3 linked regions of the Drosophila melanogaster genome follow. The protein of the gene in region 2 interacts with the protein of the main gene of each other region in a pairwise test. Each region holds a gene or a part of one and is shown on either strand. Other genes may lie near its edges.

Region 1 (8,686 bases), 3.4 Mb from region 2:
ACATGGTCCATCCGCAATCCTTCGTCGCGAATCCTCCTCCGCAGTTGAGAGGAGAAGTTTGGAGGGCTGCTCTGCTGTACTGCTGCTCCTGCGGTTTTCGTCCCCAAAAATAACTAACCCCCGATGTGAGAGCATGGGCCACACGCCAGTTTTGTGTGTGTGTGTGTGTGTGTGGAGGGGAGGGAGGGAGGGGGTTGTCTAAAGTAAATGGCAAAATGGAATGCTTGGACATGGACAGAACGGAGCAGCGAAGCAGCCAGGGTAACACGGCTAAGCCGGCTACGGAAAAATCAGCAAATACGCCTGTATTTTTTGGCTGGCGTCTGTCGCACTCCCTGCCCTTTCCCATTTCCCTTTTGCATCCTCCGCCTTCCCCCCTCTTCAACGCTCACTTTTCCATTTTCCCGCTGGCAGGCGACAGCCACCACCGAAAATTGCCACCCACCTTGCATACACGCAGGAAAATGATTAACCAATGTTGCGACCATAGGCATTTGCAATGGCAATGCAAGACAGATCGCCTCGACTATAAGATACCTATTACTCAAAGCAAATGAAGCGAGAAAAAATTACAATTGCAGCAAAGCAAGTTTCTTTTCAAAGAACTTTCAATTCACTTTTTATATACGAGTTCTTCGATGATGTAGTTCAAATTGCCAAAAACAAAAATATGCTCATTTATTTATTTTTGTGTAATTTAGAGAAACAGCCATTGGGCGTCTACAAGTTTTTTCTTTATTTTTAGCCCGTTTGTTTAATTTGATTGTTTTTATTTTCAATTTCTACGTCGACTGTCTGCTTGTTGATATTCCTCTATTTCTATATATTGTACATAAACATATATTCCTTGCAATCTCATTCTGTTAAACGATAATTGTAATCATTTCGAAATGGGGATGACTTTATCTGGCCAGAAATCGTTATCATCCGTAAAATGTGGGGGTTGGTCGCATTCAACGAGATTTTAAACTTATAAAGTCTAATACCTCTAATACGGGGGATGACATTTATCTAGCTTTTTATCAAAACATGGTGCGATAGAAAATCGAAAAATTGATTCAAGCGTCCTTTTTTAATTCAATTAGATGTACTTCATTTTTGAAATGCAATTAAATTAGAAAGTACATCCTAATGCGTTCTACACACGCTTGGGTTACTAAAAAAAATTGATTTTCACTGAAAATATTTGGTTTAATTGGTTGGGCTGTCCATGTTTGCCAGCTTTCAAAATTGAAATATTCGATCTCAGCTGCCTTAACTTACATGTATAAGCATGTACAAAAGGCTAATTAAGCTACAAATTCATTGATTTATTCCATTCGATGATATAATGGACCCATGGTCCAATAAATGTGATTGAAATGCTAACAAACGAACCAATGCATCCATTAAAATTAATTTCACTAATCGGTCGGTGGATTCGCCTTTCCATTATGCAATTGAAGTGAATTATTTTGTGGAACGAGGCTCGTTCCAATTTCCCGTCGACTGTCAAACTTTGAAGTACATATGTAGTTTCGTTTCTTTTTGTGTGCTTATTATGCTGTGTCTACAATTTGGCAAAATTACAAACCAAACAGTAAAATCAGCAGTCTGTGAATGTGTGAATGTGTGTGTGCGGCAGAAAGAATCAGTAAATATATATATTTATATATATAATATAAACTTATATAGATGGATGAGTGTAGCCAGATGGAAGACAAGTGTGTACACCGAGAAAATAATATTTGTGAGTTTATCCTACTTCGAATTGCCTTCAAAGTTTTAAATTTTAAGTTTTTGAAATTACAAATTTTTCTTTTCAATCGGAACTTGGAAGTTGCGCATTAAAGTGATGTGCTTTAATTATCTTGATATGTAATAGTATAAGGTTTTAAGTTTGTTTTTTTTTTTTAAATTATAAAAATTGTTTTAGGAAAAATGATACGAATGGTTAGAAATAAATACCAGTTTTGAAATCAAATCAAATCACTTCTTTGTGTAAGGAATGCAATTGTATAGGGCTTCCCTTTTTTTAATTTTTTCAGACAATGGAAAAGTGTGCAAAAAATGCTTACCGCAATTTGTTGTTGCCAGCGCGACGCTGGCTGCAGTCGGGCGTCGCTGCTGACGCCGCTGCTTCTTCGGATGCTGCGGTCGCAAGAGAAAAAAGTTGGCAACTTTTGATGTTTGTTGTTTTGGCTGTTTGTTTTTGTTTTTTTTTTACTTTTTTCCTTGGCTTCGGTTAACGCTTTTCACCGATCCGCTGCTTTTTGCAATATTTTATGGCTTTTATTTTCCACTGCTTTGCTACTTCGCTTGCACTTTAACACACAAAATTCCAAAACATTAAAAAAAAAAATATAGAGAAAAAACATTTCACGCTTGGCTTCATTAGCATTATTGTTCGTTTATTTGTTATTCGTGTTGTTTTCCTTTAACACTTTCTCGTTCGCGAAAGTAAAATTATACGGAGTTAGATGGAAAGAAGGAGAGATAATAGGAGCAACTAAACTAGCTGGATTCCATAGAATTTTGTTGTTTGTGGATAGCTATCATTTACGCGATTTCTACTAATTGTTGTTGATTGCGTTTTTAGAACGAAACCATAATTATCAACTTAAACTTGCAAATTACATTGTATAGCTAAACTTTTAGCAAAACTTAGCGACTAAATTGTCTTTTGGCCACTCGAAATTCAAACACGTTCAAGGAAATAAAGCACAGCTGTCATTACAAATGGACTTTCCCTCTAACTTTAGTGTACCAAGTACATTGGGTTAATGGCTCTATAAGAACATTTTTCATTCAGCGTTTAATGTGCCCATAAAAGTTAAGCTATGCTGTAATTTAAGCAGAATTAATTCAGTTTCTTAGCGTCTGGAAAACCGCGAAGCTATTTCATTGATCGACTTCAAAATTTAAAACCTATTACTAAGTGCTCTAAAAACTAGGCACCATTTAGGAGCCAACATGTTTGCCATTTATCTGATAGACTTGAGTGTTTCCTTTAGATTAAGGGGAACTCCGATTCAGGATGCTGCTAATTATTAAGGAAGCTACTGGATTCGCTTAATCTCGTTTTCATCGTCGTCGTTAGCCGAGTACCGAGTAACGGTATCGGATGGTATCGAGTACCGGTACCGAATGCCGAGCACCGTTAGGCAGCTGCTTTTAATGAGCCTGAACTTTCACACCGCTGCAGCAGAATGTAAAACTATTATGCACACTGCAAAAAACAAGCGCTGGTCATTCGCTACAATTACTAAAAAAAAAATAATACTATTTCCTTGAGAATAGCATTTTAATAAATTAGAAATTGGATCTGTGAAATAAGAAATGAACTATTAACCAAAAGCTATGTTTAAGAGCATTTTAGAAAACTTGAGAGAAATGCTCGATCGATTTGCAACTTTGTATTGATCAAATGGCACTATAGAGACCAATTCTACCTTTACATTTCTTTCTGTGTAGCGCCGACGGCCTTGGCGGCTAATTACCGGCGACCGGTAATGCGGTCGCTGCGCCGTCGACCCTGCGTGGGCGGCGCAGCCTTAATCCCGCTCGAACGGATTAAGTCGATGATGCTGGTATGGAATGGAATGGCTTCGGCTGCAGGTGAATCGATAAATGGAAATCGCTACTCCTCTCGCTCCCTCTCTCTCTCTCTCTGTCACTCTCTCTCTTTCTCCCACCCTATCTCCGCTACTCTTTGGCTTCTTCTTTCTTTTGCTTTCTGTTTACACTTATTTACCATTCAGTTTTTGCTGCTTTTCCGCTTTACACACAAACACACACATACACACATAGACGCGGTTATGTAGAACAACCACTAAAGCACCGTTAGTCTAACAGCATCCAAAGATATTCGAATTGTCTTGCCGCTACCGCTGCCGGCGTCGCAGTCGCTGTCTGCTTCGACGTCGGCGTCCTCATGTTGTTGTTCTTGTACTTCTTGTACACTGCTGCTTCCTCTTCCTTCCTTAGCTTTTTCCCCATGGAATTTGCACACACGACTTTGTGTTTACGTTCTTGTGCCGCGATTTAAGTACTGTTATAACTTTTGCCTGTCATCACTAGTTTGCTTTTTTTGTCTTGTTTATTTTTGTGTATTTTGCATAAATTCCCGGCTAACAATTATATATTTTCGTTTGTTTTATTTATGCACCGCGCAGTGCTTATTGTTGTTGCCGTTTCTTGCGGGAGAGATGCGACGCGCACGCAGCGTCGTCAATGGAGAAAAATAAAAGAGAAAGCGCCCGCTCAGCTCAGCCAGTCTCCGTTGACCGCGCGGTTGGCGAGCTTTCTTGCAACTGACTTTCGAGTTTGAACGCGAAACTTTCGATTTCCATTTCCCGATGGCGAAGGACGATAGCCATCATACGATAACGATAGCCCAATGGAAAGCAGCTGTCGGAAATGCAATGGATCCACTGAACAAATTTTGGAACAGCTGTGGCGCTACATTCGAATTGAACAAAATATACTTTAAAATTAAAAATAAAAACGATTGTGCAAAGTCAAAACGTCCCTTTTGATGCTATGCGGGCATTTTTGCACGGATCAAAGCTGTAGTTTTGGTGTAAGCTAAAAAAACAATTGGTTTAAGAGGCAGTCATTTGATTGTCTTAGGCATATAAAAACTATTTAACTGTACTTCTAAATATTTATTTATCCTTACTTTACATCTAATAGATATGTATGAAATTATTAATTTCAATGATTTTATAACAAAGGTATTTATAATGAAATAAGGGGCAAGTTAATTTAATTTCCTAACACTACGAATTAATCAGTGAACAAGATTAATCTTATTTAACTACTTAAAGCTATGACACAGAGGCATATCACACACGTCTAGACATAGGGATTCCAATTGCTGCCGTCCTCGGGCAGCAAATTGTTGGTGATCAGGAGGATGACGTCGATGATCCACCAAACGCCCACGCCGCCCATGGTAAGCAGTTTGCCCACAGCCGTGCCCGTTTGACCGAGACAGAAGCGATCCATACCGAGGAAACCCAGCAGCATGCTGTAGATCAGTGTGGTCACAAAGTAGTGATCCGTGTAGCGGACACAGGGCACTCCGGCGCGCAGAAAGGTGCGATTACCGTAGCACTCGATGTCGGCAAACACGGTGCACCAGACCATGGCGTGCTCCACCTCTTCGTACGTGGAACCACCGAACTTCAGGCATCCGTATTTCTTTTCCTGCTGCGCCGTGGCGTTCTCCCGATGATCGACGGGATCCTTGCAATCGAGAAAGTCGCGCGGCAGAAACGAGCACATCACATTCGGTCCCAGTGGATAGAAGGCCGAGTTTCCAGCTCCGCCCGAGGCGGAAGATGCCGAAGATGACGATGAGGAGGGTCCCATGCCGGAGCCCAGTTGCGCCTGAACGGGCACCACCGATTGCACCGCCGTGCCGGAGACCACAGTCTGCGGCTGCTCCTTGTCGCTGCGTGCCTGTATCGCTTGGGCATCGTGTTGTCTGGCCACCAGGAACGCCAGTAGTCCGTAGAAAATCCGCATCTTTGCGAGCTCCTTATCAAAATATAGCTAGCCAGTGTGGCCACACCTTAGCACAGCTAACAGAGCTCTGTTATCTGCGATGGCCTACCGATAGTTCTGATTTTAAGCACCACGACAACGAATGGAAATAAATAAATGCAAATAAACCACCTTTCAAGTAACAGTGCTCCTTAGCATATTTATTGGCATTAGTGTGATCGTAGTCTTTAGTTAAGTACATTTAGTGAAGTGCTATTTAGTATAATGCGTTTATTTATTTCAGACTAGTTACCAATCACGCGCCCATCTCTACATTCGATAGGCAACGGCCCTGTTGCATTGGTGTGCACACACTGGCCGCGTAATCAGCGGGCGCGAACCATTTTTTTTTTTTTTTGTGCGACAGAACAAAAACAAGAGAATAATAGACGCTTAAAGAGCATTACCCGTCCGAATTTCACGGGCAGTACGAAAACAAGAACGGAGCAGAGAGCCCGCTTAATACGACGCGTCATTTTCCACCATTTTACTGCTGTGATTTGTTTGAATTTTGCTGTGTCAGCGCATTGGAAATTCGTTGGACAAGAATAATGAATCTATTGCTCCTGGTGGCCACCGCGGCCTCCGTGGCGGCACTCACGTCCGGTGAGCCGTCACTGCTCTCGGATGAGTTCATCGAGGTGGTGCGCAGTAAGGCCAAAACCTGGACGGTAAATTCCTTTGTTTCCAACCCTTTTCTTGCTGACGTGACAAGAAAATTGCATTTTCCCGTTTCCTATCCGCCAGGTGGGTCGCAATTTCGATGCATCCGTAACGGAGGGACATATTCGCCGCCTGATGGGCGTCCATCCGGATGCGCACAAGTTCGCACTGCCCGACAAGCGTGAAGTTCTTGGCGATCTATACGTGAATAGCGTTGACGAACTTCCCGAAGAGTTCGATTCCCGCAAGCAATGGCCAAACTGCCCAACCATTGGCGAGATTCGCGACCAGGGTTCATGCGGCTCCTGCTGGGCCTTTGGTGCCGTGGAAGCCATGTCCGATCGCGTACGTAGCTTACCTTATCGATATTATAACCCCTTCCATTCTTTGTTTGTCCAGCTGATAAATTTCCCCATTTTTTTTTATTATTATTTTCTTTTTGTATTTGTTATCAATGATTTTTTTTTTTTTACTGATTTCGCAATGGGCAGGTGTGCATCCATTCCGGCGGCAAGGTGAATTTCCACTTTTCGGCCGATGATCTCGTCTCCTGCTGCCACACCTGCGGATTTGGCTGCAATGGCGGTTTCCCCGGCGCCGCCTGGAGCTACTGGACGCGCAAGGGAATCGTCAGCGGAGGACCCTACGGATCTAATCAGGTTGGTGATCTTCTCCTGCTTTAATGGGATTTTGCAAATCATATTTAGTTTGGTTTAAAAGGGCTTGCAATTTGGTTTTGCTTGCAGATGAGTTTCCAATAAAAAAAAGGGTTTGTTTTCTAACGAAGAAAAACATACTTTATGTGCAAAAATAACCTGTATTTGTACATATTGTATTTCTACGCCGAAATAGTTAGAAAGCAACTTGATTTTGTTCTTTGTTTACTTGAAGTGAACTGAAGACTCAGTTTACGACGCCATAAAAAATTGTATACCACAGATATCGCTAGAAAGCGGCTTAGTATATCATATACAAACATCCATATACACAAAGCTATATGTATATATATCATATACGAACATCTATAGATATACATGCATATATTGTGAATGCACTCCAGATTCGCGTACATCCTCAACGATAAGTTTTAGCTGCTACTAACTCATTTCCCAGATATAGTAAGGCAAACAGAAGAAAAAACGATTCTAATATGCACTTATTTTGCAGGGCTGCCGTCCTTACGAGATTTCTCCCTGTGAGCACCATGTGAATGGAACCCGACCACCATGTGCCCATGGCGGTAGAACGCCCAAGTGTTCGCACGTCTGCCAGAGCGGTTACACCGTCGATTATGCCAAGGACAAGCACTTCGGCTCCAAGTCGTACTCGGTGAGGCGTAATGTGCGTGAAATTCAGGAGGAGATCATGACCAATGGACCGGTTGAGGGCGCCTTCACCGTTTATGAGGATCTCATTCTGTACAAGGACGGTGTCTATCAGCACGAGCATGGCAAGGAGCTGGGCGGTCATGCCATTCGCATTTTGGGCTGGGGCGTTTGGGGCGAGGAGAAGATTCCGTACTGGCTAATTGGTAACTCGTGGAACACCGATTGGGGCGATCATGGTTTCTTCCGCATCCTGCGTGGCCAGGATCATTGCGGCATCGAGAGCTCCATTTCGGCGGGTCTGCCCAAGCTGTAAATGTTATATGTATTCCGGCATCAAGCTGATATATCAAAACCCCTCTATTTTCTATCATCCCTCCTTTTATTTTCATTCCGATTCGCAACTGACGTTTGTAGTTAATGTAAACAACCTAAACCTGATTGATAATAAAGTATTGTATATGACTGTGGAACTGTACTTTGCTCGTATACAGTGGGACCTCTCTAACTAGAAACAAGGCAAACAAAAAAAAGAAAATGATTATCAAACTGGAACTCAGATATAATTAAAAGCGAATAATACTATTTGTGAAACAATGCTATAACTATCCAACTATAAACTATTGTTTAGCGTAGCTATGCCTTTTTTATTTAATAGTAGAGATTAATAGTAGAGAGTATCTGATCCTCTATACTATGTACACACATTTAAATGGAACGCCGTCAATCGTTCAATCGTTAAACTGGCTAGCTGTATGTTTTGCGAGTTATAAATGTGATTAGCATCGCATTTGATTAATCAAACAAAGAGTACAGCTTGCAATCGCATTCGTCATTTGGTGCGATTTTGTTGAGTTAATTTATTATTACATTAGTTAGCTTGGCCATACATACATACATACATACATATATGTACATACATATGTAAAACTTATCTCGTTGAAGCTGCCCACAATTTGCAGCACCAAATGTCCATTCAAATTGTACACATATTTATTCACATAACATGTTTTATTTATTTTTCTCATTTGCAACATCAAATAGAACATTTGTTTTGTATTTTCAGTTTTTTTTTTGTTATCTTGTCATGAACCAACCGCTTCTCTTATCGATTTTCTGTGAATTGATTGACTGGTTTTGTAGCCACTCTTCTATTCACCGAAACTCGA
Region 2 (8,551 bases):
CTGTATTCAAAAATGGAAATTCTATTTTTTGGCCATTTTTTTGCAACCCCTTACAAAAAATGCGAAAATTTACAAAAAAATTTATTTTGCAAAATCTGTCAAAAAGTAATGCAGATGCTTAGCTTTGGTAATAAGCTGCTCAAAACAGTAACTCATGCAGCTTTGCGACCATTTTTGAACATGGGATGAAAAAAAGGCTTTTAAAAACATCGTGTGCCAGCTTTAAAAGGGTTTTTTTTTAGTGTATTGACTTGACGGCACACAGAGATATTCTGGGTACACATACACCCATATAGTAGCGTAAAGTGATTTCTCCAATTCGAATATATTCCCATCAAAGTCAACTCGAGCTTGATTGCGGTTCAACTCAAGGCGGGCAAAATGGGTAAGGGAAAGGTTTGTGAAGGAGGAGGAGGGGGGGGGGTGTGTGTGTGAGGGGGCCAACTTTGAAGTCCGCAAGGCATTTGCGGAGAATAGTTTGCATTTAATAGAGCCCCAAAGTTTCACTTTGATACGAAGCTACACCTCAGCAAATCGTTCCAAATTCCCGCCCAAATCAAAGTCAGTGATGGTGGCCCGGTTGTTGACAGGATTCTGGCCAAAAGCTAGGGCACTCGTGGTGACCAATAAAATGCGGTTTTACATAAGGCAAATTCTACACACACAAACACAACCAATTCAATTTTGACCAAAACGGACGTCTCAGCCGCAAACAGTCGAAAGCTGTTGACAACATTAGCATGATTAAATTAGCAAAGGGGTTTGGTTTTGCCATCAGCAGAAAACAACAAAATGTGGCGGTGCCTTTCGTTACTATATAGAAAAATGAAATCCAACTATCAATGAGTGCGAAACTCTTTTATTTATTAAATTACATCTCCTGCTTGCCAATAAATTCGCCATTCATCAGGCACTGACTATTAAATTGAGCTTATGCGAGTGGAACATTTTAAAAGGGGAAAAAATCGAATATTTAAGTATTGTTCGCGAAAAGAACCTCCCCCCAGTTCTGTTCAGTTTCTCTGGATGAAAAACGAGAACTCCTCGTCGACAAAAAAAAAAAAAGCGAACAGGCATTCGAGTGTTTCGCTAAGTAGAATGCATTGTTAACTTATCAATGGAGCTGAAGGACATCACATTCCTGTTATATCATTTTATCGGATGAGTTTACGCACTTTTTCCCGTTGTTGTTGGGGAAATTGTAATGGGCAAGTTTTTTTTTTTGCTCCATCTGCGATTCTTTTTGTTTTCTTTTTTTTTTACAATTTTTTTTCTTTTTCTTTCTTTTTTTTTTTTTATTCCATTGCTGTCAGCATGGACGAAAAGTTGTATTTTGTGTCGAAGTGACAAGGTGGCGGCAACTCGAGTGCCACGCCCACAGGCCATCGAGAGCGCTGACATAGACGTTTGCCGCCCAACGCCCAACACCACCACCCACTCGTACCGTCGATAATGCCCGAGATGTACGCGCTGATTGTAGTGGGGATTGGGGAAATGAGAATGGTTATGGGCCTACGGGCGGGATGAGCTGGAGTCTGCCATGTTTTTTTTTTTTTTTTTTTTTTTGGGTCCGATAAGGTGAGCAGGAAAGTCGACAATGTTGTCGACAAATTTCGATTCGGCACAGAAGCCTTGGCAGTGTGACGAAGAAGCCATTCGCTTAATAAAGACGCCAGCCTACGTCACACAATAAAAAAAAAAATGAAATGACTTTCAAGCAAAGTTTTTTAAAGCTGCAAGTCGGGTTTAATTACATGCAGAATATATATATATATATATGCTTTTAGTAAATAAATAAGCCAAACTCTTGCGTTTCGAGTAAAAAACAGTATACAGTAATGCTTTAGAGGTTTTCGAATGTATTCAAGCGGAAAATCCTTTGAGATTTCTATGCCAACTCCTGGATGAGTAATCGAATTGACAGAAATCACTGGGGGGGATCACTTGTAAAGGTGTCTAAAAGTGTGTTATTCCACCTAATCCCATGTTCTCCTTTTTTATTGCCTACTTCTAGACACCATCGCTGGCAGTGATTTTTAGAATCCTCGTGCTTTCCGTTTTAACCCTCGGTTATTTGTTTTCCGTGCAGCCTTTAAGACTCTAATTTGTGAGCGCCTCGAGGCGCTGCGACATTGGCGCCAGCTGGAGAAGCCCACCAACTTTCCATTCAGTTTTCCCAACCTCTTTTTTTTTTTTTTTTTGTTTTTTGTTTTCCACCCACTCAACTGATGGCGACACTTGCCTGGCACAATCAACAGCTAAATTTGAGTGCGACTCTTTGCAATTACTGCGACTTAGACTTGTCTAATTGCTGAATGGTAGCAGGGGAAATGGGAATGGGGAATGGAAATGGAGCCTAGTCCACACTTAAACTCTGGGGGCCAACTTTTGGGATTGGCCTGAGCCAGTTCGAAAGCCAAGCAAAGTTGGCCGTGCCAACGAGAAACTATAAAAAATATATATGTAATATATGTATACAAAAAAAAATATAAGTTGACGCGCCAGCCGGAGGAGAAATCGGAGTCAATGCGGATAATGAGGACTCGGTTGTCAGCTCATGCAAATTAACGCCGGCAAACGGGGCGACTAATTGGTATGCGGATGGGCGCAAGGATGTGAAGGATGACGAGACTGATGGATCCACGGACTGATGGATCCATGGATATGGAAGCAGGACTGGCACGCGACCCCGATGGGTGACTGACTGCAGCGACTTGATTTGATTACTAGAGCGGAGCACGGGTCTTTATCCGGCAAATGTTCCTAATTAACTTAAGGCAGGAGGACGCCTCGAGTCCTTTCATTTGCGACGCGGGGTTAATTGATTGTTGCCCCAAAACGGTGACAAATCCCACTTGGGCTCTTCTTTTGATTAAAAACGATGTGGCAGCTGAAAAGCAAGTAGCTGCAGCATTTCGAAAAAAAAAAAAAAACAGAAGGGATATATACACACAATATGTTGGATAAAAAATCAATAAACATAATGATGGTTATTAATTTTTGCAGAGCGGCCAAGCATGATTAAGAGCGCTTCACCAAGTTGCACCACCCGATTTATTAAAGCAATTTAAGTCGAACTTTTAAAGATGATTCCAGCATGCTGCTGATGCAAATTTAATGCGCCAGTTGCGCATTAACAGGAAGTTATTTTGATTTTCAGTTGCTCGAAAATTCATGAAATGCACGGCAAATGCACAGTAATTACTTCCTTAAGTGCATGTTGTGCTCGACAATAAAACGCTCAACTCACTCGACGAAACAGAATTTGGCATCAAATGTGATGTAAAATTTAAGAAAAGTCGTGAATTTTGCAAATTACTTTTATTATTTATGGCCAAAGTTGCCGCAAGTAATGTGTTTTTCACAACTTCTCGTAATTTGCTTTTCGTAATTAAAGTATATATATATGCGCTCAGTTTCTACGTATATTATATAATATTCCCCACAACATTTTCACACACAAAATAAAGTATGTTTTTAAGCAAAATTGGTTAGACCCTGATTAAAATTGTTGTTGTATAATTTATGAACTCACCTGTTGGGTGATAAAAAAACAAAATCAAATTATAAATATTTTTTACTGCAATTTTTGATAGCTGATTACAAAATATTGCTGCATTTTGCGCAAGATTGAATTTAAAAAAAAAAAAAAAAAATTCAACTGGTTTTAAGGACTCACCCGTTGGGTAGACAACGATGGTCGTTGGGCGATTCTTGCTGCCGGTGGCGGCGATGAAAGTGGCCACCGTTTGGGCCTGGAGCGTGGCCATGGTGCTGGTGGGTATGGGCAGTGTGCTCATCACCGCCGTTGTTGAGGATTCGATGAAACCGCTGAGATTGCCCGCGGGCAGGTATGCGTTCGCATTCCCCGCACTTCCCGGTGCTCCAGTGACGTTGGCGGGAAATGAGAACGCCGGCGGCTGACTGCCGAGCACATCCGTTGGGTCACTGCCCGTGGTGGTGGTGGTGGTGGTGGTGGTGGTGGTGATAATGTTGAAGGTGGTCCCGGTGGTGCTAGTGATGGGATAATCGATTCCCTGTCCGCGGGCCACGTCCGCCACGTCGAGGGCCTGGAGCAGGAGTGCGGAAACGGGCAGATTGGTCACGTGCTGGGCGGGATTGGAGCGGGCCACTTTGGCCACTTTGGCCAGTGTGCGGCCAAGCAGGCTGCCCAATTTCCCTGTTGATTCCTTAGTACGGCTCTCGGCTGATTTTCCCACTGAATTCCTGACTCCTCTGGCGGTCATATTGTTTAATAATTTCGCAGCATAATCGTAAATTTCAATGAGCATTAGATGGTCTCGCATTCGCTCCGTAAATCCTGGCTGCATGCAAGAGAAGTGTTGCTAAATGTTTGTCCACTCAGCCACGGATTTCGGACTTTTCTAATTGCTTTAATGAATCACTAAGTTTGTGTGTGTGTGTGTGTGTGATGGGTGGATAAAAGTGGGCAGGAGTAAAAGTTTCGGTTGGCGAAAGTTGGACCAAACAACGATTGATTGCGATCAGAAGTAACCCCCCGTAAAGGTTCTAAGTGTTCTCCCCCCAGGGATTTAGCAAGGGACTAACCCATTAGGATAACAGAAATAAAACCGCATAAGGCCAGTAAATTCCTGCACAAAAATTAAATTTTATCGCTTGATTTAACATGCGATTTGTAACTAAAGAATAATCGCAAATTTTTAATTAAAATTGTGTATGCTTTATGGAATGCTGCAACATTTATTAAGTTAATATTTTGCCACGAAAATGATAACTTTAAAAACTCAGCTGCTTGTGATAATTCCCCTTGAAATGTTTGAGTTCCTTGTACCTGAAGTTCCCCCGATTGGGAAATGTAAGGATTTGCATTAAAACTCATACATATTTACGAAGTTCCCCTGACATCGTTGATTACTCTGGATTTACTCAGCCCAGCAGCCCAGCACCGTGTTGGTGAACATGACTTTTAAAGGCTCCCCCGAAATGATGTAAGCAACTTTGTGGAACGGCAGCGGGTGGTTGTGCCCACTCGAGAGAACCCTAAACCCGATTCCCAAATGACCAGCTCTTGACCTCCCGCCAATACCCAAGTTTCACTCACAATCCCAATCTCAATACCCACATCCACTACCATTCCCATCCGCACTTGTTGGCCACGCAAAAGCGCAAACATTGAATCGGCCAAGCCATCAAGTGAGCAATCCGGAGGAGCTTCAGCTCCAATGGCACTTGAAACCGAAACTGCCAAGGGAGCTGGAATATAGATGGTTATATATACGTATGTAGATGGTAGTGGCGGGGGGGCATGGGCATCGGCATCGGCATGAACGGTTGCTTGGGGATGGGCAAATGGAGGCGGATCTGGCGGATCTGGCGAATCCGGATGGGGGACGCTTTGGCGACAACAGGCAATAAAAATATGTTAACTATTGCATGGGACTCCGTGGACTAGCTTCATTACGACAAATCGAATTGAATCGAAGAAAGCACCATTCTACCTCCACAATTCCCATTCTGCATGCCAGTATCCTACCATTCCGCATCCACCCATCCCACATCCCCACATCCCATTCCGAACCCCTGCTGGTCACCAGAGACCACAATTAAATGGCCAAGCACGATTCCTTTTGCAGAGAAAACAATTTTGATACTTTCGGAAAGAATGAAGTTCGACTCAAATGTTATCCGGTGATTAGAATTAATAACGCAGTCGTTTGCCATTTCATATCCAATTTAAAATCAATTGCTAACAACCAGATAGTCTACTAGTCTACTTCCTTTTTACAGCTTAAAAGAGTCCGGTGGAGTCTTCTATGGAAGATTATCACGTAGTTGTTATCATTATTATAATGTGCAATATTCAAGTGAAAATTCAAATCGAAAGGATCTTTCTGCATATTCTACGTAGCCTTCCTTATATAAATGGCTCATCCAATGTTCTATTCATTCACAATTACTAGATTATCACACTTGCCCACTCTATGGGGTATTCCGTTAAGCACTTGTATATGTTAGCATACAAAGACCACAACTTTTTGAACAGTGTTCCTTTTGTGGGTGGAAAGCCACGGACGGCTGGAAAAACTATGGACGCGCGAAATGAAACGTGTGGGCATGGTAGGGATGGTATTGGATGGATGGATGGGTTTTCCGGCGACTCGGCTTGAGTTCCACTGAGGCTGGTGCGAGGATGTTGAAGGCGCGCGTCCTTCGGCTTATGTGCAGCGCACTTTGTCACTCTTATTTCTGTGTAAAGCTGCCAAAACAAGGATGCGGCACCACAAAAAAAAAAAAAAAAAACCCAAAACAGGACAGAAAAGAAAAAAAATTCGTACAGGATCGCGGTCGTTCGTTTCCGGAGTAAATGTAAAATTTAACTTCGAAGTAAACACTTTACGTTGTTTCGTCCTTTTTGGTAGCCGCTTGTCCTTTTTGTTTTTTTTTTTTTTTAGCCGCTCTATCCTGCCACTCGCGTCGGCAGTCCGCCTGCCTTTGTAACGCGCTCGGCGTTGGAATCGCGCTTTTATAGACCGCCGGCCAGCCGGAGATTTTCCCACAAATTTCCCATAATTTTCTCACGCTTTTCCGACAATTTCCCAAAAAAAGAGAAAATGGCCAACGGTAACGTTGGGCATTGCAATGAATTGACGAGAGGGCAAAGTTGCGGCGCCGCTCTCTTCGCTTTTGCCAGCTGGAAATTTCAAAAGGAATTTCGTTATTTATTGTGCAAGACGAAAGACAAACAAAAGTCAATGCTTTTGTTCAGGTCGCCGACAATACAGGCAGAGATTCTTTAATTAATTCGGATTGTCCGCTCACGAATTTCAAATGACTTTGACCCAATTTAATTTGTAATTTGTATGATATGTGCAAATACGAAATGAAAACGAAGAAATCAACAACAGGTTATTCAAAAAACTGCGAATAAGAAGTGCCCAAAGATATGCTGGGAATTTGTGAAGCATACTTTTGAACACCTCTTTAAATATGTATCTTATGTTTTTAACTAACATTTTATTGTTTGAACAACATAATCACTTAACTTACTAATTTATGCAACTTGGTGATTAAAATGCATAGCATACACTTGATTTATGGCATTTTTGTGAAACACATTTTCCTTTTTAATTGTTAGCATTCCATTAACTTAAGTCATCTATCTGCAAATGTGCCAGCCTTGTAGTGCTTGTAGTGCCAATTTCTATGCTGAATGCAATCAATTTTAAATATAAAGACCAAATGCAGAAACAACAGCATCTGGCTAATCAATGAGGTCACACAGGTTGCACATCGCACATCGCACATTGCACATTGCACATTGCACTTTCCACTCGTTGCGAAAATTTTACAAATTTAATTGCCTTTGTCGATGGAACGCAGCCGTATGGGAAATGCATTTGGGACGACGAGTGCCGCATTTCCGGGAACAAAAATAGAAATAGAAATAGAAATATAAATATAGATAGAGATAGAAACGAAAATGGGTTGTCAAGCTAAAACAATAGGATATTTGTGCAATTTATTTGCACTATTATTATTTCGCACAAAACAGTGCCACACGATGGCAGTGACATGTCTGTTTTGGATTGCATGTACATATGTATTGTATTGTATATATACTCCAAAAAGTCCAGTATTTAAATTGCCCACATGGGGTCATCCGAATCCGTTTGGTTAGACAAACCAATTCAATTTCCCTAATCCTTGTTCAGCTTTTTGGCAAATATGTACATATGTGCATATCGAATTGTTATTAGATTGCCAGTTAGTTTTGAATGTTAGTTTCTTTCTTAAATTGTAGCCAATAATAGCCAATAATTCGACGGGTTTACTACTAGTTTTAGTTAATATTCTTGATTTATTTTAATGTAGTTAATAAATGGTAAATGAACATAGAAAAACATAGAAGGCGCGTATAGAACGATGTTGAAGGACGTCGAAAGTACTGAAAGAACGTAGAAGAATGTAGAAATTATGTAGAGAAACGTAGAGCAACTTAAACGGATGTATAAAATGTGTAGGACTTTGGTGAATCTCAATGAATGTGAAATTTAGTCAAAGACCTAGACGCTTCACTTGAATATATATATAAATGCTAATTAGTATATAAATGTGTATATATAAATGTAACCATTTCGTAATATCTTGACCGTTTAGACGGAAGGACAAAAGGACAATACGACGGTTACGAACAAACATGGCTAGACAGTAAAATCTGATGGGCAGGCCATGAAAAAGTGCCGAAAAATTTTCAAATCATGTAGGCCATGAAATGAATTTTCATTTGTGTCATAACTTTAGACTGGACAAAACCTTAGTCCAATGTGAGCATTTGATATGTGAACATAACACACAAATAATATATACCCCGATTGTTAAACAATTTGTACATACAATTTCGTAAAAACAAAGCAACAGAACTACACATTTCCAATATACATTTTCAAAATATTTTGGTAAAACGAAAAGGTCAACTTTGTATTCACTTTGGCTTACGCGCGCTGCATGATATTTTACATTTTTCCAAAATTTTCCAAAAGCAACTTTCTTGCGAAAAAACTAATCGAAC
Region 3 (6,934 bases), on a different chromosome or scaffold from region 2:
TAGATGCCTATGTGGCCCGTGTCACAAATCCTGTCCGTCATATTGCCAAGGAAGTTCACAATATTTCGCACTACCCCAGGCCAGCAGTGAAATATGTTGGTAAGTTTTGTTTCGAAACGTAAATGTTAGACTACTGCACTATGTATTCTGTTCACAAATGTGGTTAGATATCTTAAATGTATAGCAAATGGTTATTAAATTGCATTCTTTAAACAATTAAATAACAAAAGGTAAAAGTCATCTTGCATCAGTAAGGATTTGCGGTGACAAGGCCTATAATGTTAGAAGTCCGTTGTACGATACGGACAAAGTTCGAACTGATATTAACCTCTTGTCCTGGTACCTTAGACACCCGACTTGGAAGAATGATAAGAAATCCCAAGATCCTGTGAAGGAAGGTAAGTACTGTTTGTGTTCTTATATTGCGCTTGAATATGACACCTGTATATATGTATCACTCAAGCATAAATGTAATAGATGTTGGCGCCAAAAGATTACCATTCATTACGAGATGAATTTGTAAGGACAAGGATATGCACTACATTTTTTCCTTTACAAAATTTAAATTGCTCAATTTTTGTTAGTATCCCAATTCAAATAGAATAAATCTGCGAATCCCTCTTCACAATCAAAAATCAATCAAAATATAAAATAATTAATCAGCATTGCCTAAAAAAAAACAATTGAAAAAAAAAACATGTTTACGAGCACCAGGAGCTTCAAATTAAATTTATAGATTGGCTTGGACCAATATCAATTCATACAATTCTTCGTAATCCCCTTGTCCAATAATTTTCTTTCAGTGTATTCTCCAATTAAATTTATTGTTAACGTACAACGTTTGTTAGTTCAAGATAAGATGTTTTTTAATACGGTGCTTTAGAATATAAATTAAATAATTCATTTGTAACTAACTTACATATTTGGTTGCTGCATCCTGAATTGTTCAGTTCATTGTATTTCACTAACGTTATACGTTTTATGATTGATTGATTCTTTCCAGTTGAAGCTGTTGAAGTTGAGGCCTAAATGATAACATGCCTGATTTTTGTATGGACATACACTTCTCTTTCTTAAATAAACCAATCTAAAAGACTTTCTTTTGCGTGGTAGACAATTAGCCGATATCTACAAGATGAACACTTGATATCGACACAATATGGCGCTTTCACTACTCAGACTAATACTTACACACAAATCAGATCAGAACAGCTTTGAAGATCGAAATAATAAAAATATTAAACAAATTCAACGCATCACTTGTGATACTAACATTTTTCATGTGACTCACCAAAATGTAGATACTTATTCATTCTCTTTCAATTTGTTGTAACTTAAGTAAGAAGCTGACTATTAAATTATATATTTTCATGATCACTGATTACGAACTATTAAATACTTCATGTGCATACTTTTTGGCATTTGTAAGATATGGACTTCATCGCGAATTTTGTTAACCAATGTTTTGTTCATGCATATGTAAACACATTTTAGGGATAGTTACTTACAAATATGTATCAATATATTAATTTGTAAATACTGATCTAAACGCAATTCTTTCCTTGTGGGGTCGTATTTTGTAAAAGGTCTGCATATCGGGTCTATTTCAGATGGGATTTCAAAGGATTAGAAAGTGGCGATTTTGCTATTTTGATAGGTGATATTACATCGGCCCACATTTTTGCACATAAAGATGACTAATGGATTGATGCAGAATTATAATAAAATACATCGAAATTGACGCAAATTTACACAGTACAACACTTCAAGATTGTAGCTTACTTCATATACTATTTTTTTGCATTTTGAGATGTATATATGTATGTATGCTTAACCCATTAACCACATTTTGGTTCAATTCTTCATACCCAGAACTTTTTAAAAACTCCCATTAATGCCACACAATACTCTAAAACATTGGCGTCTACTGTATCTGCAATTTTCCTTGCCTCGTCTATAAGAAAACCAACAATCGCCGATCCTAAGAGTAAGTATTGTAAGTATAAGTATAATGTATAATGACATTAGCCGAGTGAACAACAAAGTGAAGGATATTTAATGTAAAATGAAAAATAAGATACAAATGCATAGGCACTGTGGTGAAGGCTCTTCTGACAAGCATTACATTTCAGATGCCGAGTTGGATCCTAACCGTCCATCTAGAAAATTTTCTGCCCCTAGGCCCCTGGAGGATCCCCTCGATGTGGAGGCCAAGGAGAAACAGCGTCTGCGCCAGGAGCGTCTTCTAACCGTTAACGAAGAGGCTCTCGACGAGGTGGACTTGGAAAAGAAGCGTGCCCAGAAAGCCGATGAAGCCAAGCGTAGGGAAGAGAGGTGGGTGCTCACTACCTACACCAGCTCATAGCTCATTTCCTATTAAATTTTTGATGTTTCCGAAGGGCTCTCAAGGAGGAGAGGGATCGCCTGACGGCTGAGGCCGAAAAGCAGGCTGCTGCTAAGGCCAAAAAGGCTGCCGAGGAGGCCGCCAAAATCGCTGCCGAAGAGGCTCTCCTGGCTGAAGCTGCCGCCCAAAAAGCAGCCGAAGAAGCTAAAGCCCTAAAAGCCGCTGAAGATGCTGCCCAGAAAGCTGCCGAAGAAGCGCGTCTAGCGGAGGAGGCTGCCGCCCAAAAGGTCGCCGAGGAAGCTGCCCAAAAAGCTGCTGAGGAAGCTCGCCTAGCAGAGGAGGCAGCCGCCCAAAAGGCCGCCGAGGAAGCTGCCCAAAAGGCTGCCGAAGAAGCCGCTTTAAAGGCAGCCGAAGAGGCTCGTCTGGCTGAAGAAGCTGCCCAAAAGGCCGCCGAAGAAGCCGCACTGAAGGCTGTAGAGGAGGCTCGTGCCGCCGAAGAAGCTGCCCAAAAGGCCGCCGAAGAGGCTCGTGTCGCTGAAGAGGCTCGCCTGGAGGAGGAGCAGCGTGTCCGTGAGCAGGAGCTGGAGCGCCTGGCGGAGATCGAGAAGGAGAGTGAGGGAGAACTTGCTCGCCAGGCCGCCGAGCTGGCCGAGATCGCCCGCCAGGAATCCGAGCTTGCCGCCCAGGAACTGCAGGCCATCCAGAAGAACGAGAACGAGACCAGCGAGCCTGTGGTCGAAGAGCCCGTCACGCCCGTTGAGGAACAGGAACCGATCATCGAGCTCGGCTCTAATGTTACCCCCACTGGTGGTAATAGCTACGAGGAGGATCTCGATGCGGAGGAGGAGGAGGACGAGGAAGAGGAGGAGGAATAGATTCTACACAATCACCATGCTGTCAACCTAATTTAAAAAGAATGAAAAAACAATAAAAATATTAGAAAAACAATTTAATAGGGCAATGGGGTGGATAATGCTGGATAAGGTGTCACATCAATTCATAAATTCATCTTAAATCAATACAATGTTGTGTTCTAAATTTAGTCATAAAATTTGCTGAATAAATCAAAATTAAGATATCATATTCTTTCTAAGACATTTCATTATAAAAGTTATTTCTTATGTTCTAAAGTTCTTGCTAACTATATAAAATTCAGATATGTAAATAGTTCTATTTCGTTATCTGCACTTCGGACTTTTTCAAACTTGGCGCCTAATAATAACATAACGAATAAATACCGAAAGAAAAATACCGTGATATACTAAACTAGCATTTTTTCGAAACTGTTTATTCGACCGCACTAAATTTACGGCAAAACAACAACAACAAGCAAAGCCGAAAACGGTACAAGTGGCTTTGCAAATTCGTTTTTAATAATTTAAAGCAAACAGAATGTCGAAGGAGGATAAGGAAAAGACACAGATCATCGACAAGGACCTGGACCTGTCCAATGCTGGGCGAGGCGTATGGCTGGTGAAGGTGCCCAAGTACATTGCCCAGAAATGGGAGAAGGCGCCGACGAACATGGACGTGGGCAAGCTCCGGATAAACAAGACACCTGGCCAAAAGGCCCAGGTCTCGCTTTCCCTCACGCCCGCCGTTTTGGCTCTAGATCCCGAGGAGAAAATACCCACCGAGCACATCCTGGACGTGTCGCAGGTCACCAAGCAGACGCTCGGCGTATTCTCGCACATGGCACCGTCCGATGGCAAGGAGAACTCGACTACCTCGGCGGCACAGCCGGATAACGAAAAGTTGTATATGGAGGGCAGGATTGTGCAAAAGCTAGAGTGCCGACCCATCGCCGACAACTGCTACATGAAACTAAAGCTGGAGTCCATACGCAAGGCATCGGAACCACAGCGACGTGTGCAGCCTATCGACAAAATCGTGCAGAACTTTAAGCCTGTAAAAGACCACGCACACAACGTGAGAACAATAATACACTCTGTTTTGGTAATATATATGTATATATAACTCCTCCATTCCTGCAGATTGAATATCGGGAGCGAAAGAAGGCCGAGGGCAAGAAGGCGCGCGACGACAAGAATGCCGTGATGGATATGCTCTTCCACGCATTCGAGAAGCATCAATACTATAACATCAAGGATCTGGTCAAGATCACCAACCAGCCGATTAGCTACCTGAAGGAGATTCTCAAGGATGTCTGCGATTACAATATGAAGAACCCGCACAAGAACATGTGGGAGCTCAAGAAAGAATATCGCCACTACAAGACTGAAGAGAAGAAAGAGGAGGAGCACAAGTCAGGCAGCAGCGACTCGGAGTAGCATTGGGAGAATCGCCGACTTACTTTCATTAAAACACATTAAGTAATTGCATGGTTCCGTTTTATTCCTTAAGAACTACACGTTATACTTACGAAAAAAACATTATATCTTAAAATGATTGTAAATAGACACTAGCTTGCACTCTGGTAAATACATACGTATATATACACTTTATCCTTAATTTATCTTGAACTTTGTCTTATGTCCGAAGAGTTCTTATGTTTATACTTTTGTACAGACGAGATCAGGTACTTGAATTTAGTACTATCAGCTCATGAGGATTTCCAAAACACGCGCTTCGTCAATCAAAAAGTCATTTGTCTATTTTTGTTCTAAATCAAAGGAGGTATAGTGTTAAATTTTTAGGAAATCATAGAAATAATAAGAATACGAAATAAATCTATTCGTAGGTAAAGTAAAATAAATCAAAAATGTTCAAAAGAAATAGAAATTAATAAAAATGTGAAAATTTCATAAGCAACTAAAAGCGTCGTAAAAAGTTAAAAAAGTGAAGTGAAAGAAAAACTAAAAAACGGCTTCATGCTTAGGAAAATCGAGCTTAGATAATACTGGTTTACTACTCTAAAGAAATATTGATTCATACATCGATAAGCTTAAGCTAAAGCATTCTTTCTATTGCAAGCTTCCTAATAATACGTAACTAAAACTTACATTTGTACACGATTGCGGGTAAATAATCTGGCAAGAACATATATCTAATGCAGCCTCTTGATCTTGTTGTACCGCATGGGAAAGCGCATTGATCTCTCGGCCTGAAAATAATATACATAAAAATTGAATTCGAATAAGGGGGCACACAAACTAGACTCTACTACTGGGTCAGGACGCAAGGAATCTTATCTACAAAGAACTACTAAGCACATTTAAGACGAAACACGGCTACTACTTCAGGCGGGCTGTCGATGCCAATGATGAGCCCATCGAAGATATCCCCGAGTCGGCATCAGAAGGAGTAGGCCACATCTTTGGGATGGGCTGTATCAATCGCACAGTTTTAGCAAACACCTCGGATAAAGAATTTTCCGCAGACTTTCGTTTTGTTGGTGCAGATGCCGTCGTGCTTGTTCGTGGCTTGTGAGCTGAATCATTTAGCTGTTTACTTCTCGGCGTCGATTTGCTCTGGGCAGCATTTATGTTGCCCACGTCGTCCTCGGGATTAATTTCCATTCGCTTCATACTCTTTAAATGCATTCGAAACTGAGACATGTCGATGGGCTTACTTTTATCGCGATTTTCAAAATCCAGAGACACGTTTCCGTGGTTCGTCTGCAAATGAGGAGTGTAAAAATGATTGCTTATCGAAGGACAGCATTTTGATTGAACGCATTAACTTACCAGTACCAGGGAAGCCAGCATGTAGCGACACATGATACTAGGATCCTTGTCAGCCATGACGTCGGCTAACGTGGCTGTTCTGTTGCCCGCCTTGCAAATGTCCAGGATCTCGGTGCCCAAGTCCTTAATATTGAAATTCTGCCGTTCATGGGCTGCTTCCAAAGCAGGAGCCAATCGTCTATGCCAGTCCCGGATCTAAATGGACAACGTTAGTATTTTTTTTATAATTTTATATCCAATATTTACCAATGAGCAGTCGTCGACTGCTGAGTCGGCAATTGGATTGGGTGTTTCAGCAGACAAATCATTTGCATCTGCTTCGTCATGTAAGGTATCTTGGTCCTGCACGGTTGAAATCTCTAGGTCTGAATTGTCAGGTTGGGTGACATTTATAATGTTACTATCCATTGCACTCGGTTCGGTACTTAAATCCAATACAGAACTAACTAACGCGCTCTCCATTCCTAAATCCACTGTGGTTTCCAGTCCGCTTAGCGTTCCGGAGGATTCTGTAGCAGTCACTTCAAGTTGCGATGAATTTGCGGTATTGTTTTCCGCATTGGGTTCGGTGGAAGCGTTTAATTCCTGCGCTAGTGAATCTCCCAGCCCACTTTCCTTTGTATCGTTCACATTCTCATTCAAGGCGTCGCTGGCGCTCGCGTCAGTTAAATTATTGGTGTTGGCTTCAATCTCATCTTCAAGCTCAGTTTTAACTTCTCCGATAGTGGAGACACAACTTGATACACGCGGCTCTTCGATATCGAAGCCCGAGTCAAATGTGGGTCGACGTTGGCGGAAACCCAGAAAATCTGGTAAGATATGTAAGATAGTTTCGCGACGTGACATAGTGTGGCAAAGTAACTTACTCAAGTCCTCATCAAATTCTAAACTACAGGGGGAGCCGGGTTCTCTTTCATTTTGGGGAGCCTCTCTTCCAATTTGC

What was found.
Region 1: the proteins of CG43740 (region 2) and inaE interact in a two-hybrid assay, tested with the Drosophila melanogaster proteins (one large-scale study listed by BioGRID).
Region 3: the proteins of CG43740 (region 2) and TfIIFbeta interact in a two-hybrid assay, tested with the Drosophila melanogaster proteins (one large-scale study listed by BioGRID).

What each region holds. Positions count from the first base shown.
Region 1 is NC_004354.4:13,779,324-13,788,009, reverse strand, and holds the start of inaE (inactivation no afterpotential E), read right to left. Parts: upstream 4,297-8,686; 5' UTR 3,734-4,296; intron 2,304-3,733; 5' UTR 2,058-2,303; intron 1-2,057. Other genes in the region: amrt (amaretto), read right to left, coding at 4,837-5,511; CtsB (cathepsin B), read left to right, coding at 6,081-6,200, 6,277-6,537, 6,684-6,851, 7,360-7,833.
Region 2 is NC_004354.4:10,331,580-10,340,130, reverse strand, and holds the start of CG43740 (uncharacterized protein), read right to left. Parts: upstream 6,480-8,551; 5' UTR 6,380-6,479; intron 4,326-6,379; 5' UTR 4,293-4,325; coding exon 3,680-4,292; intron 1-3,679.
Region 3 is NT_033777.3:10,764,502-10,771,435, reverse strand, and holds TfIIFbeta (transcription factor TFIIFbeta), read left to right. Parts: upstream 1-3,631; 5' UTR 3,632-3,736; coding exon 3,737-4,273; intron 4,274-4,338; coding exon 4,339-4,635; 3' UTR 4,636-4,814; downstream 4,815-6,934. Other genes in the region: CG45076 (uncharacterized protein), read left to right, coding at 1-99, 2,133-2,334, 2,400-3,219; Cap-H2 (chromosome associated protein H2), read right to left, coding at 5,539-5,922, 5,992-6,186, 6,238-6,800, 6,858-6,934. UniProt on the Drosophila melanogaster protein: TFIIF is a general transcription initiation factor that binds to RNA polymerase II and helps to recruit it to the initiation complex in collaboration with TFIIB.